2 linked regions of the Oryzias latipes genome follow. The protein of the gene in region 1 purifies or fractionates together with the protein of each later gene. This does not show direct contact. Links are inferred from orthologs where the notes say so. Each region holds a gene or a part of one and is shown on either strand. Other genes may lie near its edges. The genes, in order: bcap31 and cytochrome b5.

Region 1 (4,589 bases):
AATCCAGAGAATATCAGGATTAAACTGAGATTTGGATTTTTGTCTGCATCTTTGTTGTACATCACTGCATCACTGTGCTCCTGAAGGGTTGATGCATTTTGGTTGCGTTGAGCCTTCTTGCCTTTAACATTTTGAACTGTTGGTGCCGTTTAAAGGATTGTGTTGAAATCCCATTAGATGCGCACAAACAAACAAAGTTCTTTCTAAATATTGTTTTATTTGTGTTATTCTTCACTTGTTTATGTTGTGAACCCAGACACAACGACGAGCCTGCATTAGGTTTTTTTAAATAAACATAAACCAGGGCCACTCTCCTGACAGGATGGGAATCCATATCCACCATTGCAAGGACACTAGCAAGGAACCAGACCGTTTCCATTTCATGCCCAAACTCGAGATTCACGCCGCTTCAACATTTTGCACCTAGCCTCATGTCGGTGGCGGACATGCGCTAGAAAACAGAAAAAGAGGAGGAAGCCCCTCCCTGCTTGTCAAGTGGGAACACCGAAATGCATACAGCATGTTCTTGAACACGCGTCAGAAGCCCAGTGTGTCTGTAGCTTCCGGCTTAATGAAACCCCACAGAGAGAGAATGTGGCCTGCAGGGGAAGAGGTCCACAGGGGATGGGTTCAAAGACAAACGCGAGGACAGAAACCCAGTAAGCAGCTCAACCCGCCTGAACTTTCCAGCCACCTTCATGGTTCTGTGTCACGTTTCTGTTTTGATGCTGAGCTTGGTTATCGTTATGATGTCTGCCACGACTGAAAACATCAGCTGGTCATGCCTGCAGAATCCAGGCAGGAAATTTTGTGTTTGCAGCTGCTGACAGTCTGCAGATGTCGTTGAGATGTAAAAAAAAAGGTTTGACTGACTTGGCTCTGCTGAATCATTTCAAAACTAAGGAGCTTCAAAAGTTGTTCGTAAGAATCATGACATCCACCCATTCAGATGCATACACAGGAACTCTATGATTAGATCAGCCTCCAACGCTGCCATGGGCCTTTGGACAGGTTTTTCTACATTTGGGTAACACAAAGTGCATTTGGAAAGACTTACCGGTAAACTGCATTTAGAAAACTCCTAAATGTAGTTTTACCCATTTGTTCATCTGAAGAGGTAATCATCACAGGCCATGTTAAGCAGAGCTCATTGTGACAAATATCTGAACAAGGATTAGCCGAAGACAAGATCGTGGCATAAATCATAAAGATCGTGGAATAAATCATAAAGTCCAGGTGAGGTGTTCAGTCCTGGTGAGCACTCACCTCTTTGGGGAGATGAAGGGGATACAGAGCAGAAGAACGAGGAAGACTTCCACATAAAGGAAGGTGGCCACCGCTGTCCACTGGAGGCTCATCCTGACTCCTGAGAAGAAGACAAGTGAGAGCGAGTGCTTTATCGAGTCCATGTTAAACACAAGTTCAAGAACGGAATACTCAACAGAGCAACAGCACACATTCAGAGCAGGAGGCATCTTGACTTTCTATGCACATCCAGACTAAAACTAAACTAAACTAAAACAACGGAAAACAAGAAGCATTTCTGTTCAATTTGAGCCTGATTCTGAAATCCATGTTTCACAATCAGCTTTCCTCCAGATGATGATTTCATCAGATTAGTCATCTGTTTTACACACACCAGAAGCTCACAGCTATATGCTTTATGGTGTTATCCATACTTGCCCTCCAGCATCTCCAGCTCTACATTCTAATCTCAGCATAACTACACTTTAGTCTTGATGAGCTGATATCTATGGTCTAAACTCCACTCAGAGGTCCCATTGACTCAGAGCAGTTATGTTTTCTCTTATCTCCTGACTCCCTTCTGCTCATCCTGATGTTTCCTCTATGAGCAGAAACATTTAGCTCAGATCTATAGGAGGAGAGACAGAGGAGCGACTCACCAAGATAAACAGCATACAGTGGTCGATGTGGAGACCAAAGCCTGAACTACAACAAAAATACACTGGACCTCACCACAGACCTGACCAGGCTGTCAAAATAAACTCCTTTCCTGTGGCAGCTCCACGGCCTGTGTGTTAGCATCAGGGAGGAGAAAGTTCCTGGAGTGTTCCACACCAACAGAACCTCACAGGAGTCCAGCTGGACAGAGACTGATCAGAAACTCGGCGTATTTTTGAGGAAACTCTTCTGAGATGGGGAGCCAGTTGGGGGGCTCTGGTGCTGAGGGGCGTGGCAGCTTCAGACAGCTGTGTCACGATGCAGCGATCAGTCGTGATTAAGACCAGCGCCTGACAGCAATCAGCCGATCTGAACCGGCGTCACTCAGCTGTGTCCTCTGACTTAGATTACTCTGTTAAGATTCATCTTGATCATCATTCGCTGTAAATTAAAATAGATGGTTTCTGCAAACCCCTAAAAGTCTGACTGAGGCCAATGACTGAAGACAATATTTTATTAAGTAGCGGTAGCCAACTTGTTAGCTGTTCTTTATTACACCGCAAAAATGCGCGTTAAACACAAGACGATTAGGGACCGTGTATTTGCTGGAATGCGTCTAACTTAATTTGATTTCTATATTTTAGTACATAAACTGGTTAACTGACCTTTATTTTTCGTTTAACCAAATTGGAAACCGTGGCTTTCTTTGAGATTAGAATGTTTCTTGTTTTTAAAAGACACTGACGCCGTCCACTCTCGGCAGAAGCCGTTTTATTGTCAAATCATAAGCGATGTTTTGAAATGCAGTCGGGCGGGCAGCTGCTAGCATGCTAGCCGCTGACGACAATGGTATGACTCCGCATTTTACCGAACAAGGTTGCCATCAGAAGGCTGACTAGACTTACCTCAAGTACACAGACCAAGAGAAAAATGCCTTCCTGCCCAAAGAGACGTAAAAAAGCTTGTAAATGCTGCTCTGCTAGCCTGTTGTGACAACTTCCGGTCCACTTCCGGCTCTTTAATGCCAGCTCATCGTCTAACGTGATTGGATGATTCAAATGTAGTAGGAGGAACTGCACTCTACAGTTGACGTGAGGACATTGACAATAAAATATAATAAATATATAGTCATATGTGATGGAGTCAATGCGTCAGATTTAATAAAAGTAATTAATACAATTATTTTGTTTAATGGTATTGTAGCGACCTGGGGGTCAGTCCCGCCTTCAGCCCCTAAGGCTCATGGGAAGTGGGGAGCTTAGGGTGAAACATTGAGTCAGAGGGCTGGAAGCTGAAGTGACCCTCCATGCTGTTTGGGCTGTATGTGTGCTGGAATAAACAGGCTTGTTGCTTAAAAGCTAATATTGCCTCTCTCTACGTTTCTTGCAACCTGAGACTGTCCGGGGTCGTGCGGTGTATGGGGCACGGACAGCTCTCCATTAAAACCTCTTCATGAGCAGTTGGCTTTCGCTACCCCACTAAAGTGACGGTCCGGCCGGATCGTTACAATGGTGTCAGAAGAGGGATTGCTTAGCCGCTGCTACAACATGGAGAGCATCTCCATGGAGGGTGAGACGGAGCAGCTGTTCCTGGTGGCAGTCTGGGACAAGGGAGGAGTAAGGGCGATGACACCACCCTGATGGATCGAGCACCCACCGTCATCCGCAGCCTGGCCCTGCCCGGCACCAACGTTAGAACATCCGGACCAGACTGTGATGACGGTGCGCAGCCCAGCTGAACCTTCACAACACAATTAGCAAAACACAGGAACACACTGGCTGGAGACTCCTTCGCACAATCCTGGGTTTCGACCGCCACCGTGTACAGTCCTCCTCTTAACTGGCTGGGTTAGCACATCTGCAACTGACACAGTTCCATGCCAGTATGTGCCCAGCCAGGAGAACCAGTCCCCGCCTCCGTGGAAGCACCACCATCAGGGTGCACGTCACCATGGGGGAGTAGACTCTCTCCAAGTGAAGAGCTGCACACCAGCAGCAGAAGGTCCCCAGGCATCCCAGGCGATCGTCGTCGTCACTACGGCGGCGAGACTCCAGCTGCTGTAGGGTCTGCTTCTTCAAACCCTCCTCCCCAAAGCGAAGCTCTGCTGTCCGCGCTGACAGGTCTCGCAGCTCCGCAGGTGGGAGGTCCAGCAGTGTAGGGCCCTCTAACGCCAGGTCTGAGTGTGTGAGAAGTCCCTTTCGGTGTCTAGCCCTCATTGCCGGTCGCCAGGTTGACCTGAGCCAGGTGTGGTTCCAGTGTTGTTTTGCTAATTGTGTTGTTCAGTTCTGCAGTTATGTGAGGGTTGTGGGGACACTAACCCTCTTAGGTGGGGGCAGTGTAGCGACCTGGGGGTCAGTCCCGCCTTCAGCCCCTAAGGCTCATGGGAAGTGGGGAGCTTAGGGTGAAACATTGAGTCAGAGGGCTGGAAGCTGAAGTGACCCTCCATGCTGTTTGGGCTGTATGTGTGCTGGAATAAACAGGCTTGTTGCTTAAAAGCTAATATTGCCTCTCTCTACGTTTCTTGCAACCTGAGACTGTCCGGGGTCGTGCGGTGTATGGGGCACGGACAGCTCTCCATTAAAACCTCTTCATGAGCAGTTGGCTTTCGCTACCCCACTAAAGTGACGGTCCGGCCGGATCGTTGCAGTATGTCTAAAGTAATGTTTCCATTTATTTTTAAATTTCAT
Region 2 (4,270 bases), on another chromosome or scaffold:
GCTGTAAATTTGCATAACTTTTGAGTGACTTGCATGATGTTATACCAGAGAGTTGCGCTGCAAAAATTAACAATCTTCAAATAGGAGAGGAGTTCCCATCATCCACAGCGAAAACAAACATTTCATTATAAAAACGTCCTTCCTGCTATCATCTTTTCACGGGCTGTGGGAGTCCACGCAGCTAAACCAATTCGGGTTGACCTGCGTAGATACACCGATTGCTTGATGAACTCATTACGTGAGAGATGACAGTGTGTGCGTGAGTGTAAGATTGCCATAAATGATTTAATGCTAAACAGTCCGTGACCTTTTGCCTGGTCCTCGCCCGCGAGCTGCCCCAGCAGCTCATTAGAGATTGGCAACCTGAACGGACCAATCACAGTCGCCATACGGGCTGCTGGGGAAGGACGACCAATGGAACAGCGGAATTCTGGAAGGTGTGGACGCGGGGGCTTTAACGAAAGTCCGTAAAGCATCCGAAAGCATGAATGATTTTTACCGGAAGTCACAAGATTGTCCTTCAAAATAAAACAATAACATTACGAACTCACAAAAACACGTTTTCATTAAAAATAGTTACCGAAAGCAGATAAACAATGGGACTGCATTGACCTGTAAATAAAATAGATGCAACAAATAAAATAATTAAAACTATAATACGTCTGCAGTACCTAATGCTTTATTTTTATATCATCATAAGCGTTCTTTGTGACATAATAACTTGACATCTGTGAACCTGTTAGTTGAGTTTTTTTCAACCAGAGGTAAGTTAACTATTTCTGTAGTATTAGTTGTTCATTTAAACTGTTAAAAACCTTTTACCATGACCAAAGTCTCTTTTTTACCATGACAGTTAGTTGTTGTTGTTTTTTGTTTTTGTGAAGATATTTTCTCAAATACAAAAAAAAATGCAGTAAAAATATATTTTTACTTTTTTATTATTATTTTTGCTCTGTTCAGAATTTGTTTGTCATCTCCAAATTTCCCACGTGCCTCATTGCCCATGAGCTGAAAATATGGCAGCTGTTATAATTTGGTTTGGTGCATGAAGACTTTTAAGTGGAACATTTAAGGGGGCAGTTGAGCAAAACAGTTTACTAGAATTTCCTATTGTGTGGATTTGATGTTTGACTGCTAAACCGTCAAGTCAGGCTGGATTGTTTCGGACAAAGTGAGCAGCAAGACTGACCAGGAGAACTTTGCTGATGAAGCAGGATCAGAGCCTTCATACTATAAGCAGGACTATAAATAAACTGCAGAGTACCTGAATACACTAACTTAGATGCAAATTGTACATTTCGGGGTTTAAACGTGTTTCTGCTAAAATGACGAGGAGATATAAACACAAGTACAACTGGATTTCTTGGTCAATGCTGCATGACCTTTATTCTGAAGGTAGCGTTCTGAAGTCCCGCAGCTTCCGGCTTGGGTGAACTCTGAAAGTTGTTGGTGACTCTTTCTGGGGTAAATGTCGGCGTGTTTATGCGGAGTCACGGCGCGGCCACTCTTTCCAGCATTACATAAGCTCCGGCCGTCAGTCCGCGCGCCGCCGCAGTCTGCGCCCCGCTGCTCTTCGCGTGCCAAAGCCCGACCGACCGTCCGGCGCCTCAATGGCGGAAACGGAGGAGAGGAGCCCGGAAGGAGTGAAATACTACCGGCTGTCAGAGATCGAAGCGCAAAACTCCTTCAAGTCTACGTGGATAATCATTCACCATAAAGTCTACGATGTGACCAAGTTTCTGGATGAGGTGAGGAGCTGTGCGCGCGCGCTCACGGCTCGTCAGGTGGGGGGCGGAGGTCTCCTGACTGATGGGCGCTTTCCTAACAATAGTCTTTATGGACATTCAGATGCTTTTATTGTGGAATTATCTACTTTTTATCTGAGCAGGTGCGTCTCTGCTCCCTAAGAGGATGTGGGGGCTTGGCCCCCCTTCAGGTTCATGGTTACTCTTATAAAATAAATAAAACATAATTTTTACTCTATTTATCCCACAATGAGGAAATTTCTCTCCGCATTTGACCCATCCCGTGGGCGAGCAGTCAGCTGCAGACTAGCCGCGCTCGGGAGAGAGAGCGGGGATCAAACCGCCAACCCTTTGGTTGTTGGGTGACCTGCTCTAGTGCCTGAGCTAAACTGCCGCTATAGGGAAGTCAGTGAGGATTCAGCCTGCAGATCTTTGTTTAGACAAATGATCGTCTACAGCATTTAGGAAGATAACTGTTTCTTGTTGACAGTCCTTAGACTGCACACATCTTTGTAAACACCAGTTTGATTCAAATTCATTATATGGATAAATGAGGTTTCATTAAAAAAAAGAAAAGGTTCTGACAGCTTATTAGTTTGATAAAGTTTATTCTTAACGTCCAGCAGCTCCACAAGTCGATTGGCAGAAACTCAAGCACCTCTAAGTAATCAGGTATTTGACTCTATCAAGGTGCGCTCACCAGCAGGTTCAGGGTGGAGCCGACTTCTTCTCCTCCACCCTTCTCCGTGACTCCATCTGCAAACATTATGGGTGCTAGGACAGGGGGGGTCAGAGAGATTCAACCCCTCCAGTAGCCCAGTGAGAAATGGAGATGATGCTATTCCAAATATGTCTACACAATGTTGGACTACAAAAAAAACACAACACAAATCTAGCTGCGGAAAATTCCTAGAATTGATCCACACTTGAGCCGTGTCCTTGGGTGGACCTCTTGAGCCTTGTTTCCACTGAGCAGCCCAGTCCGGTCCAGTCTGGTATTTGAAGTGTTTCCGTTATAAAATAGACCCATTAAGTCAGACCGAACCGTGCCATTTTGGTTTGTTGCAGGTCAATAGAACAATGGAGTGGACCAGTTTAGGGTGGGGCTACTGTTGAAACCTGTTGATTGGCTGAACAAAAGAGAGCGGCTGAATTCCTCTTCGCCATCGCAGTCTTCTCTCAAACAGCCTTAAATGCGTTGTATCTATGAAGAAACAAAAGCCAAAATGAATCTGCTGGGTAACCTCTATTGTTGTTAGCTTCATCCCGCACACGCCGTAATAGTCCAACTTTGAGTGGAAACGCTCACCTGAATTGCCCAGACCATTCTAAACGGGACCGGACCGGACCGGACCGCTCAGTAGAAACGAGGCTTTGATTTATAAGCTGAGAACCTTCAACTACATTTTGGACCAAACAAGAGAACTCTGCTCCTCTTCAGAACAAGGGTCTCTGTTTACATGCAGGTGAACTCTGGTGCGGTCCAGTCCAGTGTGAACGCGGACAGACCAAAGACCGGGAGTGATGTATCGTCTTCCACTGTTCTTTGTAACACACAAAACGTTAGCCATGTTGGATTATTCACCAGTCCTGGAACTCCCAACCTTGTTTACGACACATTTAAAAGCACAGTGTTAAACATTACTGTCACTATGCTAACCAAAAATTGTTAGCAACACGTAAAAAACAGTCTGACACCGCTACATGTTAGCGTATTCACTAAAACACTTAAACATTTTTTACAGAGCCCCGTGGATCTCTCAACATCCCTTCAACCTCAGGAAGCACAACCAGAATTACCACAGAGCTCATTTCAGACAATAGCGCCCTCTTTTGGCTGTTTAGTTTTCTCCAGACAGGTTGTGGTCTTTGTTGTTAGTGTGAAGGCGGATGAAGGGAGATCATCTTTCAGCATTTAAAGACAGTGGGAGCTAAAACCTACAACCCAAGCCGATGTTTTCCTGCTGCCGAACGTTTTCCTGCTACCGAACGTTTTCCTGCTGCCGAACGTTTTCCTGCTAGTGAACGTTTTTCTGCTGCCGAACGTTTTCCTGCTGCCGAACGTTTTCCTGCTTTTCCGTTTTCATGATCGGAGCCTTCAGCTGCTTCAACCTGGTGCGTCACTCTGTCAGGAGGAGCTCATCATCCGTTCTGCAGTCAAGGAAACTGTTAATCTGATGGCAGTTGAGGAGCTTTTGCTTCATTGCTAGAATCTTTATTGGTTTGGATTGGAAACAGCAGAAAAGTCTTTCTGATCCACTCTGAGCCTCTGTATCAAGACAGGAAGTGACCATTCACATGTAATTCGGGCGGGGTAACGGTTAGGGTTGAAATACATGTGGGAACTGTGGCGATGTGCATTTTGACGTCACAGATTACGTGTGGCCAGCATGAGTTTCCATCAGTTTCTGTGCAAAGATCATCGACCATCTAGAAAAGAGACGCGCCTTTGCTGTTGAAACAATCTTCTGAACTGATCCAACAAACTACATCAGATACTTTAACCAATGAGATGAAAGTCAAAC

Evidence for each region.
Region 2: the proteins of bcap31 (region 1) and cytochrome b5 purify together in Homo sapiens (co-immunoprecipitation; 4 studies listed by BioGRID and IntAct, with this or other methods). This does not show direct contact. The link is inferred for Oryzias latipes from reciprocal best matches to the Homo sapiens genes BCAP31 and CYB5A.

Annotation. Positions count from the first base shown.
Region 1 is NC_019865.2:31,914,961-31,919,549, forward strand, and holds the start of bcap31 (B-cell receptor-associated protein 31), read right to left. Parts: upstream 2,939-4,589; 5' UTR 2,808-2,938; intron 1,367-2,807; 5' UTR 1,359-1,366; coding exon 1,267-1,358; intron 1-1,266. UniProt on the Homo sapiens protein: Functions as a chaperone protein. Is one of the most abundant endoplasmic reticulum (ER) proteins.
Region 2 is NC_019878.2:4,146,231-4,150,500, reverse strand, and holds the start of cytochrome b5, read left to right. Parts: upstream 1-1,420; 5' UTR 1,421-1,610; coding exon 1,611-1,748; intron 1,749-4,270.